Linked DNA regions of Struthio camelus. The protein of the gene in region 1 purifies or fractionates together with the protein of each later gene. This does not show direct contact. Links are inferred from orthologs where the notes say so. Each region holds a gene or a part of one and is shown on either strand. Other genes may lie near its edges.

The links.
Region 2: the proteins of ZZZ3 (region 1) and YEATS2 purify together in Homo sapiens (affinity purification with mass spectrometry; 3 studies listed by BioGRID, with this or other methods). This does not show direct contact. The link is inferred for Struthio camelus from reciprocal best matches to the Homo sapiens genes ZZZ3 and YEATS2.
Region 3: the proteins of ZZZ3 (region 1) and TADA2A purify together in Homo sapiens (affinity purification with mass spectrometry; 4 studies listed by BioGRID and IntAct, with this or other methods). This does not show direct contact. The link is inferred for Struthio camelus from reciprocal best matches to the Homo sapiens genes ZZZ3 and TADA2A.
Region 4: the proteins of ZZZ3 (region 1) and KAT14 purify together in Homo sapiens (affinity purification with mass spectrometry; 4 studies listed by BioGRID and IntAct, with this or other methods). This does not show direct contact. The link is inferred for Struthio camelus from reciprocal best matches to the Homo sapiens genes ZZZ3 and KAT14.

The regions. Positions count from the first base shown.
Region 1 is NC_090949.1:24,624,688-24,632,081, forward strand, and holds the start of ZZZ3 (ZZ-type zinc finger-containing protein 3), read left to right. Parts: upstream 1-4,387; 5' UTR 4,388-4,514; intron 4,515-4,952; exon of another isoform or gene 4,953-5,026; intron 5,027-5,538; exon of another isoform or gene 5,539-5,618; intron 5,619-6,942; exon of another isoform or gene 6,943-7,223; intron 7,224-7,394.
Region 2 is NC_090950.1:7,909,415-7,917,206, forward strand, and holds the start of YEATS2 (YEATS domain-containing protein 2), read left to right. Parts: upstream 1-4,783; 5' UTR 4,784-4,900; intron 4,901-5,077; exon of another isoform or gene 5,078-5,235; intron 5,236-6,285; 5' UTR 6,286-6,298; coding exon 6,299-6,398; intron 6,399-7,792. UniProt on the Homo sapiens protein: Chromatin reader component of the ATAC complex, a complex with histone acetyltransferase activity on histones H3 and H4. YEATS2 specifically recognizes and binds histone H3 crotonylated at 'Lys-27' (H3K27cr).
Region 3 is NC_090957.1:20,323,305-20,331,252, forward strand, and holds the start of TADA2A (transcriptional adapter 2-alpha), read left to right. Parts: upstream 1-4,934; 5' UTR 4,935-5,031; intron 5,032-6,540; 5' UTR 6,541-6,790; coding exon 6,791-6,815; intron 6,816-7,637; coding exon 7,638-7,744; intron 7,745-7,948. Other genes in the region: C16H17orf78 (uncharacterized protein C17orf78 homolog), read left to right, coding at 173-250, 1,541-1,612. UniProt on the Homo sapiens protein: Component of the ATAC complex, a complex with histone acetyltransferase activity on histones H3 and H4. Required for the function of some acidic activation domains, which activate transcription from a distant site. Binds double-stranded DNA.
Region 4 is NC_090944.1:146,949,616-146,957,167, reverse strand, and holds the start of KAT14 (cysteine-rich protein 2-binding protein), read left to right. Parts: upstream 1-4,536; 5' UTR 4,537-5,934; intron 5,935-6,038; 5' UTR 6,039-6,452; coding exon 6,453-6,708; intron 6,709-7,552. UniProt on the Homo sapiens protein: Component of the ATAC complex, a complex with histone acetyltransferase activity on histones H3 and H4. May function as a scaffold for the ATAC complex to promote ATAC complex stability. Has also weak histone acetyltransferase activity toward histone H4.

The DNA.
Region 1 (7,394 bases):
GTAAACTTAACTGCAGCTTTTTATTTTTACATCTATTTGAATTAGATGACCCCAACTTTAAGTATACAGGCACAAAATGGAAATAAATTAATAGCTTCCTAAATCTGGTTCACTTTTGTAATTGGCAGCTTGCTTTTGGATGACATATTATAGAACATTTTAATTACTTAAGGTGAATAGGCCGTGTGGGTTTTAAGACTCCTAAATTGTCTAATGTATGCATACTGTAATATATCAGTGATTGGAGACTGTTCTATTTAACAGTTAAAGCTATTTTCCTCTTTCTCACGTTTTTTTAAACTCTAGTTTAAATTGTTCCCACAAAACAGCCATAAAACCAGGTGTTCTGAATTTATGGCTGGTATGGATTTTTAGCAGACAGTAGACCAGATGTCAGTTCATAATCCTGAATGTGTAATTTACCATGATTACATTTTTTTTCAATCGCTATTTTAGTAATTTGCTTTTTACTGATTTGTGACATGGTGATTTGCATAACTACTATAAAGGCTCTGTCCAAGTATTATTTGAAATAATGGAAACAGTAACAAAATACATGTTCTTAATAATAGATTACTGAATTGATAATACTGTAAACTCAAAGTTCTGGCAAAAAGCCTGTGCAATTGCTGTGAATTAGCAACCGTAGCCACAACTTTAAGGCATTTTGCTTTAGGTGAAAACATTGGAAAATGTGGTGGTGTTGAAATTAACAGAAATCTAGCCTTTCTTGGGTTTGTTCTTTACATCTGGTAGCACCAATGAAAGAAAATGTTTAGGACTTTCCAGGGAATGCAGCAGGCAGAAATGGGTAGCAAAACAGAGGACTTGTAACAAAGAAAACAAGGGGTGATTCCACATAAGGATGCATAGTTAAGGAAAAATAGTCTTTTTCTGTAATACTGTTTAAAAAGTTATCTTAACTAAAATTTCCCTTTTATAACTTGAAGCTATTTTCTGTAACTGTCTTGTGGGGAATTTTCTTAAGAATTTAACTCCCCCCCCCCCCAACCCCCCGACATACTATAAATACAAAATCAAAAAAAACCTAAAAACTATCCACAAACAATTTCTTAAGATGGTAAATTAATTAGTGCAGAGATTTCTGGGTGTTGTGCTGAGCCAAGTTCAGTCCAGGATGGTTTATTAGCTTTGGGTATTCCTGTGGAAGTTGAACCTACTGAACCGCAGCTGGCTTCAGGAGTCGTCTCTCTGCTCTCTTCCAGCACTTCTGTGCAGCCACTGCACAAAACAGCCAGTCCAGTACAGCTGGCCTTGAGTCAGAACAAATAAGCCTGAGCTGAATTCTGGAGGAGAATTCGGCTATACTTTTCCTTGTCCTGCTGGGCAAAGCTATCTGGGATAGCTTTATTAAGAGCTAGGAGCTAACCTGGATGTCCTTAGGATCGACTTTTCAATTGTGTTCAATCCATGAAGAGTTTTTTTTTTTTTTCAGTCTTACCAGGGGAAAAAAAAAAATCACACGTTTGACTTGCTCTGGTAAAGTGCTACTTCAGACTAAGCAGGAGGAGCAATTAAGCTATTCCATGGATTGAAATAGCTATAAACAAGGACGCTACGACTGAGAGCAAAAGCCTTGTAACAGAGCTTCATTGAAGCTGGGCCTTGTGGTCTTAGGCAGTTCTCTATGTGCAAACACGGGCTAGGAGTTTGTTTTAGCAAAGTGGAGGGGTATAAAACATCTGTCAGCTCATGATTTTGTGGCAAGTAGTGATGGAGGGAGGTGTTGATTTGTTATTTGTTTTTATCCTGTCCCATTATAACATGATGAAAGGCTGTCATTGAGTCCATTTTCCCTGGATAGGAATAGTTCTTTGCTGCCAACAGCGATGAAGCTAGAAAAATGGTTATTGCCCAGTAAATTACTTGAGGTTGCCCTTAATAAACGTGTCTACCAATTGTTTACAACAAGGTGGGAGGTGTAGCATAGAAACGGGCTGCCATCGGAGTCAGGAATATGGTATAGTTTGGGTAGGGTACGTGAGGAGCAATGGAGACTGAAAGTGTTAGGGAAAACATGGTGCTGCTAGGCAGAAGGTGTAATTAGGAATTATTCAGAAGCTACTGCAGGATACTGTGCGGAAGGGACTGCAGGATACTGAGGGGTTGAGGAAGATTTGAACTATGGAGACAGCAGAGTGGAAGAGCCATGTCCGACCAGCTTCAAACAGAGCAAGTTTCACAAGGTTTAAATGTAAAATCCCTTGGGTGGAGGTCTCATAGTAATCCTGCTTAATCTCAGTCATTTCTATGCATGGACAGCTGCTTCTGCTACCCTGTGGATAAATGACTGTGGATGCATGACTGCTGGATTCAGTCCAGGGGAAGCAGGGGGGCATGTAGAGGTGGGGCAAGAGTGTTGAGAGTGTCCCTTTCATTAGCAGGAAGCACTACCTGAAACAGCACACGGTCAACAGTTGCTCTTTGTTGCTCTGTCATCCCCTCACTAGACATTGTACTTCTTAAGCAAGATGGCAGAACATAATATTTAAGAACTGAGTGAATTAAAGGCAAATCCTGGTCTAGGGTGTGGTTAGACAATATGGTTGGACTGGTTTCATTCCAGCTGCCAAAACGGTGCTGCTGCCAAAAGAAGGTAGTCCTACTCCTCCCCTCTACTGGCGCCACCTTCTCCTCCGCTTTTCACATGCTGGCTCCCTTGCCTGACTGGGTCGTGAGCCAACACAGCTTATTTTCTAGCTGAGAACCAATCCGCCATGAATGGGAACAGTTTCTTAGTGGTTTAGGAAGTCCAACTGGCTTACCACATGTTCAGATGAGCGCAGGAACAGGCAGAGGGGAAGTTGTGGGACTCCATGGCTGGGAGTAGGGGGAGTGAGTGGTGGCCAGTACAGCTCAGCTGCGTTGCTCGACTGCACCCTTAGACCGCCATGGGAATTTGTCTGAACAAAACCAATGGATGTTGTACCGAAGCAGCTGAGAAAAACCCTCAGTTCTACTGCGAAAGCACTAACGCTTGGCTGAAATGCAGTAACATCTGAAACAACTGCAGCTGTTTGCTAAGTGAACAGATTTCTAAATTAATTGAAATTCACAAATTTTTTTAGTGCTTACAGGTGCTGCTGCAATAATACAAGAAGCTCCATTACTCTTTCAGACTTGGGCACACGGACAGAACGCTGCATGAGAACAGTGGCACAGATTCAAGGAAAAATTTTCCTTCCCTCTCTTGTGGGATTTCTGTTGTTTTGAATCTGATCACAGGAGAAGAGTTCCAAGTCAGCAAGAAGGAGGGAAAAGTGAGAAATGCTTGGGAAAATTGAAATGCTGCTGAGGATTTAGGCAAAGGACACAGTCTAGGAGAGCAGAATGAAAGTGTGTATAACCAGCAATTTCCACAGTTACGATTTTATTAAAACTGCTCTTGTTACTCTATTGTAACTAAACTGACTTGTATACTTACAAATAGGGAATAACCACTTTAAAGAAATTGATGTAAAATGCTTTAACTAGTCTTTTGTTAAAGAGAGTGTCCATGTTAGGATTTTTCGACAATTTGCAAAGTTAATGTTTCTTAAATGGGAAAGTTTTGAATTCCCTAGAAATTCTATAGAAAACCCGAGTTGTGTGTGTTTCTTGGCTACCTCCTCCTTTTCCAGCTGCCTTGTAACTGTGATATAGCAGGAAAAAACAATGCTAGCTTACTAGCATAGTAAGAGATGCATAGTAGTTCCTCTCCCTCTGTAGGAGGGCAGAGGTAAATGAAATCTCTTTGAGCAAACTGTGCATTAAATGGCAACTTGCGGAGATGACGTGCATGTTTGCAGAGAACTAGGAGGCTACCTAAAATAGAGATTTGAAGTCACGCTGCTTTATTTTCGTTAGTCGTGCCGTGGAGGGCTGGCGCGTCCCACGCTGCCCGCTCCTGAGGCAGCGCTCACACCGCCCATGCCGGAGCACGGGGAAGCGGGCGGCAGCCCCGAGCGAAACCCGCCGGCGGGGGAGCGGGGCGGCGGCGGTGCGCCGGCCACGGGGCTTCCCCCGCCTCCGGGTGCCGGCCAGCGGCGTTGGGGCCGGCTCGCCGCCGCCAGCCGGGCTCCCCCGTCCGCCTCCCCGCACGTCTCCCGCGCTGGGCGGCTGCTGCCGCCGCGGACAGCGCCAGCGCCGCCGCCCGCAGGCCGGGCACGAGCAGCTCCGTCCCCGCCGCCGCCGCCGCCGGGCGCTGCGCCAGGCACCTGCCCGCGAGGCGGCGGCTCGACCCGCCGCGGCGCCGTCCAGCGCCGGGGGCGGCGGGCAGGCCGGGGCGGCCGCCTCCGCCCTCTGCCAGCAGGCGGAGCTGCAGGGAGCGGGTCCCCGCCGCAGCGGGCTGGAGGGGGAGGGGAAGGAAGCGGAAGGAGCCGCCGCCGCGCTGAGGGGAGCAGGCGCTGTGCGGAGCCGCCGCCGCCGCCGCCGCCGCCTGGTGCGGGCAGCACGGAGGGAGCGCGCCGCGGACGGGGCTGCGCGGGCCGGCCGCGCCGAGGAGCGGGCGCCAGGTGAGGGCTCGGCCCCGGCCCGGGCCCGGGCCCCGGGGGGAAGGGGGACCCGGATGGTGCCGAGTTCGGAACCCGCGAGGGGAGGGGGAAGGAGGAGGAGGAGGGAATGAGAGGGGGGGAAGCCCCCACGTGACCCGCGCGTGCTGGGAGGAGGTGGTGGCTCGCGCGGCCCGTTCGAATCAGCTGGCCCGGAGCGGCGCCCTGTGCGCGTGCGCCTGCGCAGCGGCTCCGCCCTGAGCGTTACGTGTGTGTGTGTGTGTGTGTGTGTGTGTGTGTGTGTGTGTCCGCCCGCCCGCGGGGGCGCGCGCGCGGCGTGACACGGTGGGGCCGGGACACGTGCGCGGCGCCGCGGCCGCCATGTTGAGCCTGAGCCAGTGCGGGCGGGCGGGAGGGGAGGGGCGGGGCGGGCGCGCGCGGAGGGGCGGGAAGGCGGGCGGAAGTCTCGCGAGGGCGCGCGGTTCCTGTGGGAGCTGGCCGGCTGCGGGATGGCGGTGCGGCGCTGGGCGTGCTGGGTAATGGTAACGGGGGCCCGGGGGGCGGGGACCCTGGGACCAGCCTCCTCCCCGCCATCGTGCCCCGGGCCACACGGGGAGCGGGGCGGGGTTGGCCGCCCCGGGGAAGCGCAACTGGCTCCGCTCCCGCCCCTCCCTCCCGCCGCCCCGGCCCTGCCCCGCCTCACCTCACCTCACCTCGCGCCTCGCAGGCTGCAGCGCCTCGGCCCGGCCGCGCCGCCGCTCCGCCGTCGCGGAGCCCTTGCTGCGCCGCCCCGTCCGCCGTGTCGGGGTCACCCCGTCACGGGGCCGTCTGGCCCCGCTCCAGCGCGGCTCTGGCGCCTCCAGCCTGCGCCGACGCCCGGGGCGCCTCGCGCAGCCGCGGGCCGTGCCCGGGCCCGGGCCCCCCGCGAACACTTCACGGTGCTATTGCTGTCTCTGCTCGCTTTTCAGACCTGTCCCCTGCTATTGCTTCTGTTCTCTGCTTGTTCCCAAGGCTTCTGCTCTTGAACCCTAACTGCTCCTGCCCTGTAGGCAACTCTGATATTTAAGGGTACAGGAATCCAGAGTGGGAGATCTTTAACGCCACACACCTGCTCTCTGCGACTATGATGTATGTCCTGCTATATCCTCAACTTATAAAATACATTTCTGTTTTCTGTTCTATATGGGACAAATCACCGCAGTAGTATCCAAGCATCCCAACTCTGCAATATCCCCTTTGTCTTCTAGTCCTGATCTCTCAAAGGGAGAGCATATGGTTCTGCTTCTTCCTTATGGTGTTGTGTATTCCCTGCCTGATTATCCAGGAACACTGACAGGTCTCATAATCTTGGAATATAACTCTTCACTTACTAATCCGGTTTTAGACTGCTGCATAACTGATACTAAAACTTATATAGAAGAACATGTTCTTTAGGCTTTGAATTTCTGGCATATCTTTCTGGAATATGTTCCCAATCATTATTAAATGCAATGTAGTAGTTCTGTGGTGGATGTACACGTCTTCTATTGGTACTAGCATTATTACTGCTCTAATAACTTTAGTCATCATTTATTGAGGTTTTCAAGGTGAAGCTCTAAGTGTATTCTATAGTTCACATTAAATACTAACTTGTGCAACCTTTGAGAGCATGCTTTCTGGGTATATTTCTAACCTGCTGTTAGAAATTATACTTTTTTTTCCCCCCCTGTCTAGCAGCTGCAAGGAGTGGTGATCCAGAAGGGGTATGGAGATTCAGGGTTAGCAAAGTCTGGTCCTTCTCGTAAGCAAGTTTAACTTTTCAGAAAATAAGCTGACAAGCTACTGTTGCAGTTTGTTTTCAGTTTTTTTTTAATCTTACTGCACTGTCTTTCAGGTTAATAATATTAGCATTTGCTACTCAAGTTAATCAAAAGGGAAAAAGTTAATTTCAGGAAAAAAAAGTGATGTGTAGGGGGAAAAAGATGCAGTTGTTATAAAGAGTACGCAAGTAAAATGTTAGTGTTAATAAGATCTAATTAAAAAAAAAAAAGTGAAATTTTGACTCAGTTAAAGTCAGTCATGAAGCTTCCATTTCCTTAGAAGGGTGTTAGAAGGGGTTAATATTTTGCCTTGTATGTGACTTCTAGTAAGTCATTCAGGACCTGAACAACTTTGTTTGCAGGCTTTATGCAACACTGTCGTGCTTATTTCATAAAAACATTTTCTGGCCTGATATTGCAGTCCTTCACAAAGCTTTACTGTTATGCAGTGCAACTGTGTATGTCAATAAGGAGAAGTAGTTATGACCTTAAATTGAAATACTATTGCACGTTTGTGTGACTGGAAGTTGTTTAGTCCAATATATGTAGTGATGAAGTTCAGTTGTACATTTTGTCTCACTTCTCATTTCTGGAAAATGAGAAATAGCATATAGATTTTTGAGCTCAGTGCTATCACACATTTAATATGCACAAATAACTAGATCTTTATTTCTGAAGATTTGGGAATGTATCCTTGCATGGGCCTCTATTCTACAGCTGAGCAGCACATGACTGCTCAGATATTTGTCAGTGTTTCTACCACATTTGTGTAGACAGATTCCATAGTCAGACATCCGTAGTCTCATACAGAATGAAAGCTCTCCCACTCTTTCCAAGAGACAGATGAAATATTTTGTTTCTTGTTCTTCCAGACCATTCTGGGTACTGCAAGTATATTGGCCTCTGCGCAGTGGAGTTATCTGGTTGACACAAGGTGGAGAGACTTTTTTTTCCTGCTCTTTTACTATCATGCTAACATAAGCAAAATGAGAAAGGGTTTCTTTCATCTTTCTGAAAGTACTCAGTCTGTTCTATTTCTCATTGTTAATGAAATTTTGTTGTTAAAAGTTAAATCTTTCACATTTGAAAGCCTCTTTAGAAAGAG
Region 2 (7,792 bases), on another chromosome or scaffold:
GTAGATAACGGAGTACTGCATTATAGTGCAGCCTCTGGCCTTCTGCTTTTATATATTCCACGTATCCCTCTATGTCTCGGCCATCAAGCATATAACATTACCTGGTAATCGTTCACTCTATCTCTAAGTTCCTTTTCTGTTAGCGCCTGAAGAGGCATAATTTGTGGAATCTCTTCCATTTGTACCATCAGACAGTTAATTTTCCCTGCGTGCCTGGCATGCGTTTCAGGGGTGAAGCACTGAGCTTTCCCGTCTAGCACCCTGAGTCCAGAAAGCTTCGTTCAAACCTGTGCTTGTTGGTCACCTGTGCTTGAGAGCAAGAACGCAGCTGACTGCTAGGGCTTTTTCCGTAAAATAGTTGAGTTCACCATGTTAACTTAGACGGTTACTCAGTTTACCCTATTTTTGTTTTTGAGTTGCAAGGACAAGACAAGCAGCAGTCCCACATCTCGGGATTTCAGGTTTCCCCTTGCGCGAGGCATGGTGATGTGCTGGAGCTCTGTTGCATGCAGCTGGTAGGCCAGAGGGGAACTCGGGGCAAGTGGGAGAAACGGCAAGGGGAAACCCAGCGCTTTTGGGTTTGTGCATTTTGCTAGGCTTGCTGAAATACAGGACTGTCTGGTTGCTCCTACAGTTTGCAGTTCCAGTCACAGGGAACTCAATAGGTAAAAAATATTTCACGTTTGTCAACTCGCTACTTTCAGTCTGAGAGATAAAGAAGCATATGTTGTCAAAGTTTTCTAGTGGCAATGCTCAGGAAAAGCAAACGCTCAGTTTTCGTAATTGCCCGACTGGACGAATGTATCTCGTTTTCTCTGCCACTGAAGATGGCAAAAGCCCATTCCAGAGGATTAAGAACCTCACTAGACTTGATCACTCTGAAGCAAGATGTTTTCCTCTGAATGTGGACTCTCACGCGCACAGGACAGTGTGCATTAAATGGTGTGCCGGACTAAAAAATCTGAGTAATACACACTGAAAAGGAAGTCCACAAGGTGATGAGGTTGATGAGATTTTTAAGCAGAAGTTTGTTATCTGGTTGAGGACTAGACAGTAAAGTTTTTTTTTTTTTTTAAATGTGTCCAGCAAACAAGCTTCCTTAATGTTTTATTTCAGGTGGCATTGATAAAAATCCGTCTCAGTGTCAGTGCTGTGAGCATTACCACAAAACAGTAGGCAGCCTCTTACCCACCCCACACCAGCTGTGTGAATCAGAACATAAGTTCTCGGCACACTGGCCTCGCATCAGCTGTCTTTCATAACATGCATTTATGTATAAAATTAGTGACTCAAAGTATATATCCTTGATAGTGTTATTATCCAAAAGCTCTATTTACATAACCTTTTTTCTACTGTAGTGCTCCAATCTACACTCATGTTTGCGCATCTGTGCATGTGAATAACTTTGTGATCATTTTATGCTAATTCTATTATAAATGATACACATAAAAGTCCCTATGTACAGCATGTTGATAATGTAATTACAACTTACTTTGTATTATTAGTTCCAAAGAAAATAATGTGTTAATGTTGAAAATACCTGTGCCTTGAATTCACTTATAATTTTTATCTATTGTGAAAATGAGCTTGGATTGCTCCTTCTGGTTTATCTTTATTAGGATCAGTCTTACTGTCTAGACTGCTGATGTCCTTTTAAGAGAAGTAAATCTTGCCATTCGTTAACTAAAAGAACAGTTAAACCTTTTATTGAGAATATGCCTACAATGCTTCGATTTTTTACAATGTTATGGCAGATTTACTGTGGAGAAATCAGTATTTTTTTTTCCTGTTTTCTATTTCCTGCACTCCCTCAGTGACAAAGGAGTTTGTCTTTGACTTCCTGTCCTTCATACGTAGTTTCTTGTTTTAGTCAATAGCCTCTACCACATTTCAGAACGCTCTGACTTGCCTGTCCTCAGTAGAGTTTAAAATAAATAAGATGAAGCAATAATATGGTGTAGCACGGCAATATGCAAAATCAAGAGACTTGAATAAAATGTATTATTATTAATTTCATTTGTGTAAATGCTGGACCTGTGGGGCCATTCTCCTTTCGGTGCACCTGTAGCAATTTGGAGTCAGATTAATAGGAACTACTTGGCCATGGAAAGAGAGGTTACCTACTTAACTATTATTCATATGATACTTTCCTTTCACCTGGAATATGTTTTGATTTTTCTTTTTGCTAAGGAAAACAGCGGTTCATTGTATTCCTTGCCAGTTCCTTTATTTACTGAAACGTAAAAGGTTTGGTTCGAACAAGAGCTTAATCTTGTCTTCAAGAGCAATCTGGTACAGCACAAACGAAGCTGAACAAAAAACTGCGGACCACTTAGTGTGTGCCAGACTCAATGCAATGCTATCTGACACGTAACATTAAGGTCTTCAGATTGTGCTGACAGTAGAAAAGTGATTTTGTAATGTAGCACAAAAGCAATAACATTTACTTGTTATATTTAAATATATTTCTTGCATAATTCTTTGAAAGATTTTTTTTTTTAAATCCAATGTACCTAATAAACATTTGCCTTTTGAATAGTTTACTGTGTTTTATTTAGGTCATGAGAAATGCCACGGAGGGGTTTGGTCGTACAAGGAGGAAGCTCTTTCCTGTTCTTCCTAGGTCTTTTATTTGCTGGATTCTGCACCTTTGCAGTGTCTGTATCAACCCATCATTCTTCTGTCTTCCAGTCTGGATGCTTTCATAGCTCATCTTTATGCCTTTGTCATGTAACTTACTATTGACATGAATACAGGTAGTGCAGGCAAGCTAGAGGCTGTGCGAAAAAGGAAAGAGCAAGGAAACTGGGGGAAATGACAAGATGGGATGTAAAATAGTGCTTAGTTCTGGGAATCAGGATCTGGAAAGGATACAAACGGACTCAGAGGGCAAAAGCAATAAGCGAAATCAGGATAAGGGAATGGATAATGGTAGGAAGGTGACCAGTAACACTATAGGTTGGAAAGAGACATGCAGGAAGTTTACTCTTCCCAGATTAGCTCTCCCTTGACCATCTCGAGGTGCCACTTGTAGAACGGCCGATACAGGGCTCGGACAGGGAGAGGGTGGTTCTCTTGCACTTGAACTGACATGACTGTATTTCATTCAATACCACAGTTTTACAGATCACATTCATCTTTCAGTTGTTTTCTAGTGGAATACTAGCTTGTACTCCTGGCATCCTCTTCCTCATAGGACAGTGTGGATTTCAAACTCAGAGCTTGTCCTTCACGTAACCCTAGATGTGTGTCTTGCCTTCTTCCTAAAACCCTTTGTTTTTGGCATTGTGGCAGAGTCAAACAGAGCTTCCTACTGTGATTTTTTCCCTGTGTTCCACTGAGGTCTAACTCGTGAGTCCTTTCCTTGTTTGATGTATTTTGGATTGTGGGTCCTGTATCTTTCAACATAAAACCAAAGCCCTGGGGCCTTGATATTCGATATACTCTGTATCAGAGAGATGTAGAGGAAAAAAAAAATACAAATAACTTTTTAGAAATGGTGGCAGGCACATTTTAATACAACTTAATCGACATGAAGATACTGCTTCATCTGTCTACTGGCAGAGAGGGGCCTGCTAAAGCCTTGAACTGCAGAAAATTGAAGTACTTCCACTAGCTTCAAGAGTTTTGAACCTAGCCCCACAGAGATGAGCGAATCTAAATGTACCATTGAGGCATGTAAAGATTTTTCAGATACCTTATAACATGAAACATAAAACTAACGCCAACAGTTGGACTGCAGTTTGGCAATGTAACTGGATCATTGACCGCAATCAAGGGGCTGTTACTGTGGTGCCAAGAATAAGTTATGACCGAGTGCAATGTTACTGTTCCTGAAAGAAGTAATCTCACATGAAAGGAAATTCAGACTACGATGCAATGGAAATACACTGAGGAATGGGATCCTGTCTGAATATACTTAAAATGTTAAAAATGGACCTATTTCTGTTCCTCTCTCCATTAAGCAGAGAAAAGGAAGAAAATAAATAAAAAACTAAATTATATTCCTGATGAAAATGATACAAATTTGGGTACAAGAACTATCTCAATGGATTGTATTTGTTGCCTGACAGAAAGCCTTTCTAGCAGTGGTCCTGAAACCAGAAAAGGGGGATTTTAAGGTTGGCTCCCTGCACATTGAGCACGCATACACTTGTTTACAATTTGCGGCCTCATAAGAAGTTAGAAAATACATGTAAGAGTTGGCCGTTATCTCATGCTCTTTAGCAGCATGAGTTTAGCATGAGACTACGGCGGCGGAGCGAAGGGCTGCTTGTTGTTCAGGACATCTGACAGCGGTGTTAGGATCTGGTTAAGAAAAAAAAAAAGTGACATTAAATCCATTAGTTTAGTGGGGCAACTGTAGCTGTGATTTGACACGCTGTGAAACACCATGAGCTGTAAAGGTAGGACGTTTGGGAGCGGGGGCGCAGCGAGCCCCTCGGGGGCCGCCGGCAGGCAGCCGCCTCGGGGCAAAGCCGTGCAGCGCCGCTGCGCCTCTCTTGCGCGCTTTTACTACCCGGGGCTCTCAGTCACGCCGGGCCTCACTTGGCGTGCTTTTATTATTATTATTTTCTTTTCTTCTCCTAACCACGCGCCTTTCAGTTCCTACTTTTGTGTCAAAATCTGCCTTCCCCCAGTTGTACTGCTTACTGGCCAATATAGCGGGGCCGCGCCAGTACCTCCGGCGCCTCAGGGGGAGCAGGACGGCGGAGCCTTTCCGCCCCCTTTCTCTGCGCCTCGCCCCGCCCCGCCGCCGCTCTCCGCCTGCGCGGCTCCCGCCCCTCGCGCTGACGGGCAGCGAGGGCCGGGGCCTGCGCTCATGGCGGCGGCTGGCGGCGGGCGCTGAGCGGCGCGCGGCGGGGAGCGGGGCGGCGGCGGCCGCCTCAGCGGAGCGCGGGTGAGCGGCGGCGGCGGCGGCGGGAGGGCGGGGGGGAGGGGGGGAGGAGCGCGCGGGGCGGCGGCGGCGGCGGCGCTTTGTGCGCGCGCGCGTGCGCGCCGGGCGGGTTGGGCGTGGGGGGAGGGGAACAATGCCGGCCGCGCACGTGGGCAGCGGGCGCGCGCGCGTACTGCCGCGCCCCGGCCAACGGCCCTAACGGCCGCCCCGGAGCCGCGGCCGCGCCGAGCGCCCGGCCTGAAGGGAGGGTGCCCTGGGGGGAGCCGCGAGCGCCTGCGGAGGCTCGGGCCGGGGTTGGCCGTGCGCCCCGGCGGCGGGAGCAGCGAGCCGCCGCGGAGGTGAGGAGGGCGTCGTGGGCCGCGGCCTCCCGAGTCCGCCCTGCGGCGGCGGCCGCCGTCGGCTGCGCCCGCGCCCCGGCCCGGCGCGGGGCGGTTGGCGTGCGAGGCGTCTTGCGTGGGCCACCCCTTGCCGAGGCGTGTCGGTGGCCGGCGGGACGCGTGAGCGCGGGTGGGCGACCCCCCTCCTCCCCCCTCCTCCCCCCCCCCCCCGGGCCGGGGCAGCTGTCGGGGAGAGGGGGCTCGGCCGGGCGTGGGGACGTTGTCCCGCGCGGTTCCCCCGCGGTCTAGCTGGGAGGTCACGCTTGTACGTGACCCGTGTGCTGGCGCAGCTTCGCCGGCGAGCCCCCCGCCTGTCCCGGGTAGCGTGGTGTGTTTGTGTCGCTGTGTGTGCGCGTCCCGGCTCGTTCGGGCCGTCAGCGCGCTGACTCTGACCAAGCGCTGCGTGCTGGAGGTGATGGTGCCGCCCCTGAGAAAACACCCCCGATGTACTGAAATTGGTGAGCCAAGCAAGTCTGGACATCCTCTTAAGATCCGCGTGCAGGCATCGCTGAGGATGGGGAACAGGCTGTTGTGACTTTTGCGTCAATGGACGGTGGCTAAATTGGAAGAGAAGTTGCTAATACCAACACCTGCCTTGGCGGTCTTCTCCGGTCGTACGTGCTAACCTTGCATAAAGAAACGTGCCTGCCAGGAGAGGGGCGAGGTGTGTTTGCAGAGCGGCTGTTCAGCGACAGTGAAGGTCACTTCATTTTTCTGCCTTGCCGCTCCATCTTCGCAATACCTTTCCCCACACAGGTTGTGGTGGGCTATGGAGACCAAAGATCGGGAGGCAGTGTAAACTTGTGGACTGTACATAGCGGGACTAGCTCTGAGCTTTGCAGCTGTGGATGGATCTCTAGCAGCTGGGGAAGGAGGTGTTCCAGGAGGTGTTCCCGAGGTCCAAGGCAGGCCTTCTCGCTGTGACTCCTGTCATTTCAGGAGAAAGTTTGAACTCTGTCCGGAGAGTTGCTGTGGGTAATGTCACTGCTTTTATTTTTCCTCTCGGTGCAGTAGTTGAGAGAACATGTCTGGGATCAAGAGAGTGATCGCGGAGAAGGACCCCGACTATGAGGAGATCGCAGTCACACATCCCAATAAGCGTCACAAAGCAGCTGAACAGTCAGGTAGGAACCGTCTGAGTTGCGATACTGTCATGTGTGGAATTAGAAGTGCCACGGATTCAGCAGATTCTGTGCATTTTTCTACAAACAGTTCAGAAAAGGACTTGGACGGGAGCTAAAAGGACAAAGGGCAAGGAAGCTAGCGATATCTCTGTATAGCAAAATGACGGTGTGATTGTCATAGGTGGAGCCATTCATACCTGCTAGCTGAACTGAGCTTCAGTAATGACAGCAGTAAAGCATGTGGTCGCAGACTTCAGCGCATGATAGCAACTAGAGCACAAGCCATCTGGGAGTGCCTGACCGTGTACTTTGGTTCTTGTTGCTTGCTGAAGTATTTGCAGCTGTATCTTCCCAGCTGTTTTCTGTGCTGGGTTATGCTCCTACCTCTGCATTTATTTTGCAGTTGAAACCTGCCCGTAGAAAGACTGGCAGTTAGCTTACGTTTGAGGGATGCAGCAGCTGGTAGCAGTACAGTTTGGGAGAAGAGAACCCCCTGACCCTGGGGCTAGGCTGGCTCTAGGAAAAAGCAAGACAAACAATTGCAAGAGAAAGCAGATAAAATGAAACGAAGTAATGTAGAAGGGATAAGTTAGCGAGAAGGATGGGGCTTTTAAGGGTGCAAAGGAGGAGGAGTAGCTACCTGACTGAAGGAAAGATGGACAAAGAAGCTGTGGCTGGATGAGCAGGTATGCATTTGCCACTGTCAGAAGTGCTTTGGGAACCATCCTGTTGGCTGTGTGCCTAGGTCAGGTTCGAATCTTCTCTGGGCAAGTGAGACTAGAGTCTCTTGCCCCTGGGACAGGGAGTGGGCTGAGTGATATTTGGCATAGCACAGCCAGTGGGAGAGAATCGTGAGGGGAGGAGCTGAAGAAAAGGGAGATGAGAAAAATGGAGCCTGCTGCAGGATCTGAGCAAGATCCAGGAATAGAGCAGGGTGTTGGAGCTGCCAGTTGGAGAGGGACAGATAATGGTTTCACAGGTGGTGTTCTGGAGGACAGTGTACAGCTGGGCGAGTCTGAGGAGACTGAACTTCAGTTTGAATATGCTGCTGGGCAGGTCTTGTCTGCCAGGTTAAGGTCAATTAAGGGCGCTGACGGCAGAGCCCTGTTGGAGCTAGCTATGGCAAAACAGCGTTAGCGCTCCCAGCTGTCTGCCCTGCCTGTCTGCCAGAAGTTGCCACCCTCTGTGGTGTTGAATCCAAGTGACTGCAGACAGATTTTTATCCTGCTTCTGAAGCAACTCCTCAGAAGATCTTAATAGGTAGCAGGCCAAGTCTCAGGGCTCTTGGAGAGCTGTCCTTCCCAAAGTGAACTTCTTGCTGAGGTGATTCTTCCATATTGAGTTCTTCTTCTCGTGGAAGATCTCCAGTTTTCAATACAAGAATTCCGTAAGTA
Region 3 (7,948 bases), on another chromosome or scaffold:
TCAGACTGAGCTACGGTGATTCACTGTGTAAAGCTACATTACTGTGATGCCTAAACATGTACAAGTATCGATCATGGCCCTTCCAGAAAAAAATAGCCTGTTACTAGTTTTCAGCAGTTGGTTTTCTTCACCACCCTCATGCACAGCTAACTGCTTTTGCTTCTTTCCCAAGTGCTCATGCCATGGCTGGATCAAGACACACGTCGGTGCGCAGAGCAGCAGAACCAACCTGCCTGCAGCCTCCCTCAGGGTGCGTCACCAAACAGAAACATTTGTAATCCAGTTTCTTCAGGATATAGGACAGAAGGCATTGCAACGTCTTGTTTGAGTCTCAGCCTCCCTTCCCCGGGCACCTACTGGTCACCTTCAACCAAATTTGACCAAAGGATAATGGGCCCCAAGGACAAGCAAGTTCCCGAGCGAAAATCAGTGATGGGGTAGTGAAGAGGGAGCCAAATCTCTCCCGGGGGAAGCTGTATGGGCTCAGCAGTCCCCATGCTGGCTGGCCATTCGGTAGTCAGCCAACAAGCCTCACATACCTGCTGGCCAAACAGCATACGCAGCACGTGCCATCGCACCAGCGGTCCTGAGCGGAGGCAGGAGGGAACCAGTGGTACAGGAGGGAAGCAGGGAAGCTGGGACTATCAGCATGGGGAGGACTTATGAGGCTAGTTTGGGTTCATTTGTTCTGTCTTCATGAGGTAACCTGGTTTTAGGTGCATTTAAGCAACAATTACTGTGTTCAAAGATAGACCTATCCCTCCCCCTCAAAAAATTAAGTATCACCATGGTCCTGGAAATGCATTATTAAGGTGCCTTTTCATGAAGAAATGATTTAATCTTGTGCTTCCTACCCCATTAAGTGACCTTCCAAGGCTGTACCCTACTCCCACCTCTCACAGTGAATTGGGATCAAGTTACTTAAGTTCAACATATCCATTTACTTGTCTGTCACCCTGGTCTAGCAATCACCTTGCGAGACTAGAGAGCTTAGCTCTGTCAACACACAAGAAGCCTTCTGAATATTAAACATACAGAACAAACCACTTGAGAACATTTAATTTGCAGAAATGATCGGTAAATAATTTCAAATAGCAAATGAAAATCACCTCATTTGTTAAAACTTCTGAGAAGAAAAAAATAAAATGTGAATACATTATTCATTACAGATTATCCACTTAGATCTTCTTGGAGTGAAACTGCACTGTGAGAAATGTGTTGTAGTGAGAGGTTTGGAAATTGGACTGAGACCCTTAAGAGCCATTTCACACAGGCCATTGAACAGCCATCAGGTGGTAACACCTCTGGGCCTCCTCCAAGCTGAAAGCCATCAGAACAGACTTCAGGCAAAAGGTTTTTTATCTCATTGCCACCTCCAGGAGACATCAGGCTTACTGTAACTTCTGTAGTTCAGTTCAGCCAGGAGATGTCGCACCACTAAATTACTGATATGGGAAACAACAACACACAAGCACTGGTATAACACTCTAGGAATAGGGTTGTTTATTACTCCTGATGAGTATTTTTCTTCCTTTGCCAGAAGGAAGCATCAGGCCAAGAGCCTTACAAGGAAAGATTCAAAATCATTGTCATTCATGAGACCTACCTGTGAAAAGCTGCCGGCCTCAGAGGCACACTCTTTTCATCAGGGGAGGTACATCAGCTTTCTCCTGACCCCCTCCTGGACACAGCAGAGCGAACAACAGCAGTTTACACCACCACGAGTCAAGCCATTGCAGACTGGAACGAGACTTATGTTGGAAGAAATGTTTACCTGGCTAGGAGCAATCAGGTTAATTCACTTAGAAGGCAACTGCTGTGAAGATAGCCATATGTTGATTTCTTCCATCAAGTACCTGGAATCATATTTTAGCTCCTAGAATTAGGAAATACCTGTTGGTGAAAGCAATAAAAATTCCAGTGACATTTCAAATTCTGCCTCCCCAATTTTTTAGTTTTTTCCTCATGATTTTTTCACACGCGTCTAGGGCCTGGGCAAAAGGGAAAGGAAATAATTTCCAACATGTTACTCTCGTCTTAAACAGACTGTTAAACAGTTCAGACAAGAAGTATATAGAATACCAGATCTCCTACTCCAGCATCAACAGGAATAACGCAGATATTACTCTTTGAGATAATACAAATATTAATCTTTGAGCTTTAGCCCTTGTCTAGATCTGAATAGGTGCACATTTTCAGGTGCTGATACAAAATGAACGTCTGATCTATTTGCAATGTATTTATCTCTAATGCCGTCTTCAGCTCTCAGATACAACTGCCAAAGGCTACATCTGTCTGCTCTGGAGAACAGCTCTCATCTGAAGTTCCCAGGCAAAGGATTAAATGCTTCAGAATCTGCATAAACGAGTACGAGCAGCCTTCAAGGCTCCCAGTGAACAATACAGCATTTCCCCCCCAAGTGATCTAGATCCTGCTCATCTGAATCAACGTCATGTGTTCTCTGAGGCGGCACCAGAAAAAATTCACACAAAATTAAAATTGCACAACAGCATAAAAAAAGGGTGCACTGGAACAGTAATGACAGTGGTTCTTTTCAGAAGAGGGGATTAGCACCACATACAGTATCACTGAGTGGAGCACTGCCCATGCGGGGCATTCCAGACAGGTAGAGTTTATTGCAGAACAGGGCCTAAGTACAAACAAGTATTGGAAATTCATGAAATACCAGTAACATTTGCCAGAACCAGGGCATCATAAACATACGCAGAATCTACCTAATATTTGTGCTAAAGAACATTTTAATTATCAGCATTACTATTACAATTACACCAGGCTCAGAAGGAGTACTACGTCCCCTCAAGAACACAGTACAGCATATGAGGCTACTGTAGAGGTCATGAGAGCTATCACGAGATGTGTATTACCACTGTGCCAGATTGGCTATCCAGACTGTCTCATGCAAAAACAAATGGCTCTTTAAACAATGCCACTAGCTAACTCATTCCTGAGCTTTAGGGTTTCACGCAACGCAAGACTTGGCGAGCTAAGCCCTATCCAAAGCCCTCTGTCAGGATGTCCTCAACAAGCCCACAAGTGCACCTAGTTCACAAAGACATTCAAAGTGTACATGGGGGACAGCCACAAAAGACCTCACAGGCACTAGCCTGCAAACAGACAGGGGAAGGACGAAAGATCCCTTTCTGTATAAATGATTTAGACATACACAGACGTTTGTGCAAGTTCATGAGCTGACAGGAGATGGAGACACATTACACATCACCTACAGCTTCTAAGTTACTTGTGAAAAGCAGCAGCTTCAAAAGATCACTGCTGGGGAGCGTCCCAGGCAGGGAAGATGAACAAGATGCTCCATTCTTCTCCTCCTGGTCCCTGGACGCTGACTGCCACCACTGCCTATGCTGCTGCCGCAGGCCACCCTCTCTTCTGTCTACCTGTTATGATCTTTCTTACTCTTCTCTAAAGTTTTTCCCTCGTTCATGCTCACATCTTCCTTCACCGCGCTACCCTCTGTAACTCCTCCCAGTTCTAGCTCATGAGCCACATAATCCAGGCCAAGTCTGACACAAAGGGCAAACAGCTGCCGGGGGAAGACCTGCAGAAGAAGATGGTGGGGTTGCAGCCAGTTGCTAACAATCACCCCATCACTGCTAGGAAAATAATTACTGCTACATGAGAAACTATTAATTCCTTACTATTTTACTGCTACAAGACTTATTTGACATATACTTGCATGAGACACGGGGGCCTTGCAAACCTGGAGGGACAGTATCTTGCTTCAAACTTCTAATGAAGTTAAGTCACTTTTTTTCTCCCTCTTCCAGTCACATGCATGGCAGTCCCGTCCCTCTTCTGCACTTGGAGCGTTCTTGTCACTCTTCTTGGCATGTGGCCTTGATCAGGCAAGGCAATTTTCTTCCAGCATGTGCAAGCTCTGACTCGTGGGGGCCAAGTAATGCCAACCTCCAAGGCCGCCGCTGCCTTGTCTTTTCCCACAGCAGGGAATTCGAATTGCTAGCACATCTCATCTTCTTAGCCCTGCTGCTGGTCACATGAAGAAGCCCTAGCTGGAAGGTACAGATGAAGTAACGCTCGCACTCAAAACCCACAAACTGCTATAAGGCTAGGAGCCCCTTTTAATTTCCAGCCTAAACTTACTCCTGGTTGAACGATATTTGTTACTGTGCCAATACTGTCTTTTAGCTTGTAACAGCGTGGTCCCCTTTGGCAGGGACACACGCTCCCCACAGGCTGTGGGGCTCGCACCCCCCACGGCGCGTGGGTACTCACACATCCCCTCCAAGCTGAGGCGTACACCTACACCTACACCCCCCCCCTCCAAGCTGAGGCGAACACCTACACACACACCCTCCAAGCTGAGGCATACACCTACACACACACCCCCTCAAGCTGAGGCATACACCTACACCCACACACACACCAAGTTGAGGCGCACACCTACACCCCTCCAAACTGAGGTGTACACCTACACCTACACACACACACACACCCCAAGCTGAGGCGAACACCTAAACCTACACACCCCCCATAGGCTACAAACAGGTGCACACCCTATAGGCTGTCTGTACATATATATACACGCCCCCCTAGGCTGTATGTCTGTACATAAACACACAGCACACACAACACACACCCTCGCGAGGCTGTAGGTACCTATGTACACACACACACACACACCCCGAGGCTGTATACAGCTACATACACACACACCAGGCTGTAGGCACCTACCCGGACACCACACACCCTGGGCTGTGCACACACACACACCACACACGCAGAGACCCTGCCGGCTGTACAACACACCCGCAGAGACAGACAGACACACCCTACTGGCTGTACGTACAGGTACACGCACAGCCGGGACACAGACACTCTCACACCACCCAGCAGGCCCCGCCGGCGGCGCGGGAGCGCGCACGCAACCGCCCGCCCGCGCACGCAACCGCCCGCCCGCGCGCGCGCACGCCGGCAGGAACGGGGCCGGGCACGGCGAGCCGCGGCGCGCGGGGCCTGCCCGCCGCCCGGCCTGAGGTGAGAGGCGGCGGGGCGCGGCCCGAGCGCCGCCCCGGCCCGGGAGGGGCGAGGGGCGAGGGGGGGACCGTGCCCAGAGCCGGGAGGGGCCGGGCCGGGCCGGGGGCGGGGAGGGGCGCGCGCGGCGGGGGGAGGGGAGCGCGCTCGCCTCTCCCGTCACGGCCCGCGTTGGGGCGGGGCCGGGGCGGGGCCTGGCCGGAGGGGGCGGGGCCTGGCCGGGCGGGGCGCCCCCTGGCGGCGGCGGCGGCGGCGGCGGCGGCGGCGGGGAGACGCGTCCGCCAGGGCCAGGCCGCGCGTGGGGCAGGGGGTGCAGGACATGGAGCGATGCGACGTGGGCAGTCGAGGCCCCCGGGGCCGCGTCCCCACCTGCGGCGCCCCGCGCACGCCGGGCTGCGAGGGACCGTCCGGAGGGGGCCGCGGCGAGTCCCTCACGGCCGCGGGGTGAGACGTCCGGCCCCGAAGTTGCTCCCGGTCCTCCGAGGAGGCGGGCAGAGGTGCAGGGATCGGAGGGGCTGCGCAGCTGCGGGCCTGTCCCGGGACGCTGGACCGTGCTTCGCCGTGTGGCGCAACGGAGGAAGAAGGTCTAGAAAGATAAACACAAATTTCAGTGTGCGAAAAGTCAGAGCCTTTCCCAGCTAAGGCACCTCGTAAGAGTGAGATGCACCGGAGATCCCGTAGTGGAAAACAACCCAAGTCCTTGGTGATGGGCAGCACTGTAGGACCTCGCTGTACAGATACTGGTGAATAACGGCTGTTCGTAGAGCTGCCACACAACCAACACCGAAAGCGTACTGGATGTCAGTGTGCTAGGTTCCTGCGTCACTGTGTGCCCTGCCACCGACAGCCTGCTCCTTCTCTTCCTGGTGCTTCTTGGAGGTGCAGGGCTCTTTCTTGCATAACAGACGTCCATAACCGCTCACCACATGCGTTTCCGGATGAAAGCTTCCATTTAGGATTTCACCAGCAGTACTTTGTAGTGTTGCTGTTTTGGGATGGGCTTTTTTGCTTTGACTTTTTGGTATCAGTAAATTCCATGAAGCATTTAATGTGTCATTTATGTAATTAAAGTCTCTTGGAGGGAAAACTAGTCCAGGTAAAATTAGGTTCAGGTAAGACGCTGCTGGTTCTCACAAAAATTGTACCTTGCTAGTGGGAAACAAATTGGGATTGCTGTCCAGCTTCCCACTGGGAATTTTGTTCAGGCTTGTCATTTGGGGTTTAGAGCAAAAATCAGGATTAACCAAATCCCGTCTCTGCCACTTGTTCGCTCCCTGACCTTGTGTAAACCTTATTCCTTCTTTCTTCGTTAGTTGTCGCTACTGCACTTCCCTCACAGCAGCAGTTGCGGGGATCGCTACTATACCACATTTGAAGATTTCTGATGCTACAGTCACTTCAGCCACTGTCTTTACTGGGGCATATTCACCTTAAGTTATATCCCCATCTCTTCAGATCTCTTCATACTATGAATCTTACCTGTCTGCGTTTGATTTCTTCTCTCACCTGCAGAAAACACATCAAGTGGTCCCTGTTACAGTGACTGTCCACAGCTCTTTTGCTTTCCTGCTCGGCACATTCTGAGAGGATCTCCTCTATCAGGACTGTGTGAGACTCCTTTCCTTCAAGTGGAAAATACCCTTCAGGTGGAAAGTTGAACATACTGGTTGGGGCGAAGCTTACGCTACAGTCTTTTATAGCAGGACAGGTGTTACTCAGAGGAGCAAGAATATCGGGAGGAAGAGGAGAGGGAGGGAGAGGAATGGAGCGCCTGGCCTCCTTCAGCAGTAAGTACCATAAGCTGAGATTTGGAAAGGGTTTGCCATTTTTTAAAGACATCAGCAGTAAGCTGGGGGAGGGAGACGGAAAAGTAGCAATATTTGGTCCACAGGGTCACTACTTTAATCGAATTCTCAAAAGCACAACTGGTATATGAATTATTTGGTGGGAATTTGGATCTTTTTTGCCTCCTTGTTATATAGTGGGACTAGTTACGGCTTTTACTAATTGACAGCCTGTTTAATTTGACTACTTTGTAATGAACAAAATAAGAAAAACTTGTAGAACAGTGTTTGATTCCTTGTTCAGCAATTTGAACAGTGTCTGAGGATTGGATGGGTTACAGAACAGTAGAATGCATGCCTTTGCAACCACAACAATAAGCTGTTCAGGTCAGACTTGAGGTAGATGGATGGGAAACTACAGCTGTCTGTGCAATCTTCTCCATAAGTAAGGTCCTTGGGACTCATCTTCAGTGCAAGACATGACCATGGGCACTGGATCAAATCAACCAGCTAGCACAGCTCATTGCATCACTGCTGAGAAATACTGATAGGCTGCTCCAGAGAGGGCTTTCCTTTGACTCCATTGCACAAGAGTAGGCTATTTAGCCCTCAAAGTTTTAGGTCTAGCAGAGAGGAAGTGCCAGGATCTCTCTGGAAGCTTCAGCTGAACAAGGAACTTTCAACGGCTATTTGGAGAAGCTCCAGTAGGAAAGAGGTTATATACAGCTGACTTCACTTTAAATTATTAAAATTATTGGATATTTGAATGATAGCAAAAACAGTGTCATGTTTGTGTTGCATGAGATTTACTTGTTGGCTTCACAGATGACCCTTTTGATAAGCCTCCGTGCCGAGGCTGCTCTTCCTACCTCACAGAGCCCTACGTCAAGTGTGCTGAGTGTGGGCCTCCTCCCTTCCTCCTGTGTTTGCAGGTGAGTGCAAGGATAAAAGTGAAGACATTCATTTCTTTAAGAAAGTCATCAAAGGCCTGTCTCATACCAAGCTGTTACATAAACACATTAATAATTGGTCTCTGTAAACTTGTATCAAAGCACATATTTGCTCAAGGACAGGGAAATGACAAAGAAGGTGTTGAAGGCTAAGAATTTAGCTTGAACAGCTGAAGGAGAGAGATC
Region 4 (7,552 bases), on another chromosome or scaffold:
GGAGCCCCGCCCACCGGCCGCACTCCCTGAGCCCCGCCCCTCACCTGGTCCCCCGCCCCTAGGGGTTCAGAGCCCCGCCCACCGCTCCCCCCCCACCGGCGGCATCCCCCTAAGCCCCGCCCTAGGGAGGCAGAGGTCCGCCCCTCACCTGGTGCCCCGCCCCCTGGGCTCGGAGCCCCGCCCCCAGTTGGAGCCCCGCCCCCCGGGGGCCGGTGCCCGCTTCCCCGTGCGCTGGGGGGAGTGCGCTTGGGCCATGGGGCTCCTCTGGGTGGGAGAAGAGGCAATTTAATTTGCTACAGAAGCTGAAAAGCGTATAGGGAATGGAGCAGGCAAGACTCTTATTTGGGCTCATCCAAGGGGAAATGGTGCTTGACCAATCCGACAGCCTTCTCTGATGGCATGACTGGCTGGGTAGATGAGGGCAGAGCAGTGGAGTTGTCTCTCTTGACTTCTGTAAGGCTTTCGACACCATCTCCCATCACATCGTCATAGGGAAACTCAGGAAGTGTGGGTTGGATGGGTGGCCAGTGAGGTGGATGGAGAACTGGCTGGATGGCAGGGCTCCGAGGGTTGTGATCTGCAGTGCAGAGTCTAGTTGGAAGCGTGAATCTAACGGTGTCTCCCAGGGGTCCATACCGGGTCCAGTCTCGTTCAATGTATTCATCAGTGGCCTGGATGAAGGCAGAGAGTGCACCCTCAGCAAGTTTGCTGATAACACTAAACTGGGGGGAGTGGCTGATACCCCAGAGGGCTGTGCTGCCATTCCGAGGGACCTGGACAGGCTGGAGAGTTGGGCGGAAAGGAACCTCCTGGAGTTCAACAAAGGCAAATGCGGAGTCCTGCACCTAGGGAGGAATAATCCTATGCACACCAGTACAGGCTGGGGGTTGAGCTGCTGGAAAGCAGCTCTGCAGAGAAGGAGCTGGGCGTGCTGGTGGACAAGTTGACCATGAGCCAGCAATGTGGCCAAGAAGGCCAATGGTCTCCTGGGGTGCATGAGGCAGAGTGTTGCCAGCAGGCGGAGGGAGGTGATCCTGCCCCTCTCCTCAGCCCTGGGGAGGCCACATCTAGAGTACTGTGTCCAGATCTGGGCTCCCCAGTACAAGAGAGACATGGTACTCCTGGAGAGAGTCCAGTGGAGGGCTACGAAGATGATGAGGGGACTGGAGCATCTCTCCTAGGAAGAAAGGCTGCGAGAGCTGGGCCTGTCCAGGCTGGAGAAGAGAAGATTGAGAGGGGATCTCATCAACGTGTACAAGTATGTGAAGGGAGGGTGTCAAGAGGATGGGGCCAGACTCGTCAATGGTGCCCAGGGTGAGGGGCAACAAATAGGACAGGTACAAACAATCACAGGAAGTTCCATCTGAACATGAGGACAAACTTCTTCACTGTGAGGGTGACAGAGCTTTGGAACAGGTTGCCCAGAGAGGTGGTGGAGTCTCCTTTGCTGGAGATATTCAAAGCCTGCCTGGACGCGATCCTGGGCAACGTGCTCTAGAGGACTCTGCTTGAGCAGGGGGGTGGGACAAGATGATCTCCAGAGGTCCCTTCCAGCCTCAACCTTTCTGTGATTCTGTGATTGGTGGATGGGATGCCTTCAGCCACCAAGGGTCTAGCAGGAACATGTACTAAACGTTCCTGAGTGTCAGCTGAAATAAATGGGAGCTGTACTTTGAACACATGGTGTGCTGCAGGATACTGAATGCTCTGAAAAAAGTCTCTCCTTAATGTTTTAGTGAGACATCTAAAATTAAGGGGTGTTTTTGACCTTAATCTTTCCTTGATTAGTATCACTCCTTCGTCTGATAGAGGGGTTCTGAAAACAAATTCATATTTACAAACTGTGGAGGTAACGGACATAAAAGAGTCCATAAGGAAATGAGTGACACCACCATCAGAGCGTGATCTGTGTATCTCAAAGTAAATAATGCCTCAGGCAACAGGAGGAACAAGGGATGTGAAACTAAATACTGAATACCTGGTCAGGATCCATTCCCATTACTGAACGAGATGGCAGTCCCATGGCAAGAGCAGCATGGGAGAGACTGGACTGTAACTCCTGGGCAAAAAAAAGGGGGTGAGTTAAGGGCACAGAAGCAACTCCAGAGTGTGGGATTCTGAGCTTTTAACTTGGAAGCTTGGCGTTCTTCCAGTGTGTCCCTGAAAAAAGCAGTGGTCGATCAGCAAATTAATTCGTATGGTTAGCGCCCCCAGCTTGGTTTATGCATCTCTTTTACTATCTGGAAGAAAATAGGGACTTGCTGCCCTATGCCTGATGTTCCCATTGCTCTGCTGTAGTTGCTCCAGCAGGCTTCCGAGCAGAACAAAAAGCTTCCCTTCCCAGCCTAGCTTCTCAGAGCTTTGAAAAGCCTCGTTCAGCAGTGGTTCTCCTAATCCGCTGACGTCTGCTTCGTTTGCACAACAGCGTTGAGTAGCTTTGGTTGCTGGCGACCTGAGATCGCTTCTGCAACCTTCTGCCTGAGGAAATCCTGCATTTTCCAAGTGCCGGATAACTTATGGACAAGGATGGACAGCCTTCACCCCTGTGGCTGGGAGCGGTCACTGCTGCGGAGGGTATCAGCGTCGCTGCTGTTAAGCCGCTGACAGACAGTTTTGCTGCGTTTCCTAGAGATGGAGGGGTCAAAGGAACGCCGATCAGCGGAAAAACCTTTTTGGAGTTTCTGGGTGACAGAGCCGGTGTCCTCATTTTTTTTAAACCAAAATTTAAATACAATTTTTTTTTTTTCAGATCACTGAGCATTTTGTCCCTTTCCGCACAAAATGCAACCTGTTATTTTCTATCCGTCCTCACACAGCCTCTGCGAACTCTGGGAAGGGGAAAGGGGTTGCAGGGCTACCAGAAAGTTACCATATCATGGGCAAGGGAGGATGCGGGGAACTATTTTCCCCCCAGAGAAGCCGCTCTACTCTCAAAATATATGTCCGATGTATGACTTCAGAGGTGGCTGACCTGTCCTTAGGGGGATGGGTTAGCAAAACAGTTCTCTAGAATTGAGGAGGATTCCCCGAAAAGCTGAGTTTGACACAGATTACATGTTTCTGTTACAGGAGTACTAGGATTACTCAAGATGCTGCTGCTGCAGCAAAGCCCAATCACTTGATTCTTCGTTCTGAGCTCGCAGTTAAACTTTAAATCACTATTCAGAATCAATAGGGCTCAAAGCTTACCTTAGTATTAATAGGGCCCAAAGCTTATCTTTTATAAATGAAATCTGAAATTTTATTTTTATGATCTTGATGTTCAAGTTGGGAAATAATGGCTTCAGGTTTGAGGGAGCCAATTATTTAGATAAAGAAATGAAAATGAGTAACATGGACATTCTTCAGACCTGGTGTAGGGATTATTTCAGTTTTATCTTTACGTAGATTAACAGACTTTTGGCTTTTATAATTTGATATTCCAGGAACTGATTGATTTCAGCTTGCATAAATTTATCTAAATTGATTCAGAAAGCAAACAGGCCTAACCTTAGAGTATAGAAAAAGGAGAGAAGAACTTTTTTGTAGCTCTTTGTCATGTATGAGGTAACAATTATAAAGGTGTCTTTTGCAAACTGTGCGTTTTAGGAGGAAACGTTTTCAGCATCTGAAGGATTGCAGAACAGCTGTATTTTATGAAGGAAAAAGGTTAACCTGCCTGATGCCCTGATTGTTCAGTTACACAGTATCTCTTCACATCTTTGTTGTTATTAGATAGCACTAATGAAGTATTTAGTTTATGAGCTTTGTCTTTAGCAATTAGTAATTTGTAACCTGAATTCAGTGCTTTGAAGGTGATGGGAAGGAACTGCTTTTATTAGATTAATTTCCAGAGAGAGTTTTGATTATTGGCTGACAAACGTGTCTGTATATTTTTAACAAGATAAAGCATTTCTTAAACAAAGCATTCCTATTTTAATCTTAACAGAAGAAAAACACACACTTTTTGGTATTCTAGATGAAAAAGAAAACCCCGTGAGAATTTGTCAAATAATAATTACAAGTATGTTCTAAAACAGCTTCAGGGTCAGTTTTCAAACAAATTATTTGCAGGTGCATTTTGGCACCGGTAAAACAGATCAAATAAATTATTCCTCTTTTTCGTCATTAGGCTAAATACTTTATTCCTAACTCCAGTATCCAATGACTAGCCTTAGTACGTGTGAATCTTTCTCGTTGCTGACTGCAAGCTGGACGTTTTAGATTTATGCGTGTCAGCTGGTAAATCAGGCAGGGGTATCGCACTTCTTAGATTCCCGTCTCTAGTTGTGCTAAAACGTGACTGCGCTCATGTGGCTTGATTTAGATGTGAGCCACTACTGGCTTATTACAATCGTTTGGAGTGTTGCTCTCCTCAGTTACAATATCTCTCGCCTCGTGCACAATATCTTCTGATAAGCATATGACTGCTGCTTTGAAATTGAGTATAACGTCCACAGATTTAAAAGCTACCGCCTGCCCGAGGAGTTCGAGACAGACAGACAGGCAAGGGAGTCGGCATGTTGCTATGTTTGCCTTTGCACTGGCACTTACCTTGCGGTGAGCCAGTTCAGGGAGGTCAGTCAGCAGAGTATGACTTCTTTATGGGGGGGGAGGGGGAGAAGAAAAAAGTGAGCTATTTTCTACTGTTTTATCTGTCTGGGCTGGCTCACCCCTGGGATCAGGTGAGCACTGTTGTGAGTGCAGAGGAGAGCACGGGAATGGAAAAACTAGAGCAAGGCTGGCTTAGGTTGGTTTAAATGGCTGGGGAACACCATCCCAGCTGCCTGTAGCCAGTTTTACTTCTTTTTTCTTCTCCCCACTGTCACACAGATGCTCATATAGATAATAATAAGGAACTGGTAGAAGTTCCAGTTAAGCAGTCTGGTCCGCTTTCAGGACCAGGCTCTGAATTTGCAGGGCAGACTCTGGAAAGGACTGGTCGCGAAGTCTTAAAAGCACTGCAGGAGTGGGTCTGTGTGTGTGCCTGGAGCCCACCAAAGCCGGTTCTTCTCTATACTTCTTTCAGAGTTCAGTCTATGCAGTGTTCGCTGCAGGATCCCTGCCTAAGTGTTGTCACATGCACAAAGTGCTCGAGCAGATGAAATGCTCAGCTTGGGTCACCTTTTCTTCCAGAACTAGTTTCAGTCTTGCCATCTTCTCCATCCTGTGTCTAACCTCATCATCCTCTCCATTCACGTACTGCTGCTGTCTTACCTGTCCCCATCTGGAGCACAGCAACTGGTTCCCGTCTGCTGCCTCCCATTTCTTTTCCCCATCCTGATACATGTCACCACTTTTGGTTCCACCACTTGTTTTTCATTCCCCGTTTCCCTTGGTAAGAAATTAAGGTTAAGCATTTCTCTTGCTTACCGGAGTAAAGAAAACTTTCCAGGAGCAGAGAGAGACGAAAGGGTAAGGAGGAAACAAAGGCTAGCTGGAATTTTCTTAGGGCTTTTCAAACCCTTTTGGGGGCTTACCGGTCAGTTTGAGAACTGCTGATTGATTCTGCACATTTCATTCTTAACGAACATTTTAGGTAAAGGTTATTTTTTTTAATTAAGTGCCTTGCTTGATTTCAAGAGCTTGGCATAAGCACGCTAGGGACTTTTATCAGACTTCTAGCAACATCTTACCAGGTTTTTTTTAGGAGTAAGATATAAGCAGAAAGAAGCAGAATAAGGCAAAATTGTTTCTGATTTGCCACAAAATTCTCTTCAAGCGGAAGAGAAGTTTTGGAGAGATTCGTTCAATTTCCATAAAGATTTAGGGCAGAGTTACTGATACATAGCACTTCTTTGCTCAGTAGCTTTACCACGTCGTAAGTGCACCCATCTGAAGTGAGTACAAACCAAGTATTAGCTTATCAGCCTCAGATGTCAGCTACTGTAGTTTTAGATTCAGACAACAAAGTGGCTGTGGCTGAAGGCAGCGGAGAACTGAAGATTTGCAAAGGTAATATGATTAACAGCGCTGCCAGAGGGGTTGGAGCCCAGGTGGAGATTAGTCGTATTCAATATCAAGCAGGCTGTGATGAACCCTGTCTCTTGTATTTTCAGAGGCTGCACAGAGGAGTTCTCAGAGACCTTGAGCGACTGAGTCAGAAAGAGCAAAATATTCGCCTTTTAGAAGAGCAGATCGCTTTGACGAAGCAGCTCAAAGAAGAAAGAGACAAGACGCTAATGGAGAAAGGGTCCCAGCAGTCCTAGGCACGGTCCTGACCCCTGAGAGTGTGGACTGAAGGCAGTTGGCCAGGTTTGCTATCTGACAGCCCACAAGTAAGCGGAGGTAATCTGTGAAAGACCATTTCTTTCACATACATTCTAATACAATTCAAAAAACTATAGCGCCTCTATCTTCAGCACTTTCACGAGCGGAGACTTGACTGGCACATGCAGTGGGGATGGTCTTGTGAATGTGAGGAGGAAGGGCTCCTTGTAAAGTAAGCACCATCTTCCTTTATGTGATAAAGGATGGCTAATAATGTTCACATGAGCGGGCTGCTGAGTCGCCATGATGATGAAGCGACAAGGACGTCGACCTCCGAAGGCCTGGAGGAGGGTGAGGTGGAAGGGGAGACGCTCCTGATTGTCGAGTCTGAGGATCAAGCCTCCGTGGATTTATCGCATGATCAGAGCGGAGACTCTCTGAACAGTGACGAAGGTGATGCATCTTGGATGGAGGAGATGTCCTATTATTGTGAGAAGTGTCAGAAGTGGATACCAGCAAGTAAGGATGCTGTTTTTATTATTTCTTGTAGCGCTTCCCATTTCCAGTTTGCTTTATTACGGTTGCTATGTTCCCCCAAAATACAGTGTGTGGGTCTCGCCTGGTCTCATGAGGCATGAGGCAAGGTGGTCATGCTGTCCATTTTAAAGAATAGCTCTATTTAGCCTTATTCTGTCATTGGGAAGAAATGCTGTTTTGGCATCACATGGAGCCCAGTAGCCGAAAGCCATTTGTTGTGTTTGTGTGCATCAGGCGCTTACACCCATGAACCCCATATGGGTATCCAAAACTGGCATTCCCCAGTAAAAAAAATGGGACTGTTGGATCTGCTAAACAGAAAGCAAGGGCAGGACTTCGGAAATGCGAGCACGCATTCAAGTTCTGTTGTCAGTGTGTTAGGGGACTTTAGCCAAGTGACTTTGCATGTCGCTCAGCAGAGAGGTAAAGGCAGTGACTGTTTCTATAAAGGTCTATGGGTGAAAAGGGTTCTGTAGGTGGTGGTCTTTTTGTCTTTCTTTTTCTTTATTTTTCCTGGCTAGTTTGTCACATCTGTGGAACATAAGACTAACTCTCAACCTTAATGATTTCCTAAGAACGTGAATTTAATGTAGGTTTCACAGAGGCGTGTTAGGCCTGTAGCAGCTAGCTTTCGGAGGCGTTTGAAGCAGGTTGGATCACTTGATCTCTCCGCTCCTGCTATTTGACATAAGATACATGCTGTTAGCTGAGAAATAGAAGAGATGTTACTTTCCAAAATCTAAATGATTGAATCTACTATTATATCTAAAACCTACGTATTGCTACCTGCTGTTTGTTGGTGGCTAGAAGTAGTGAGCTCTTCAGG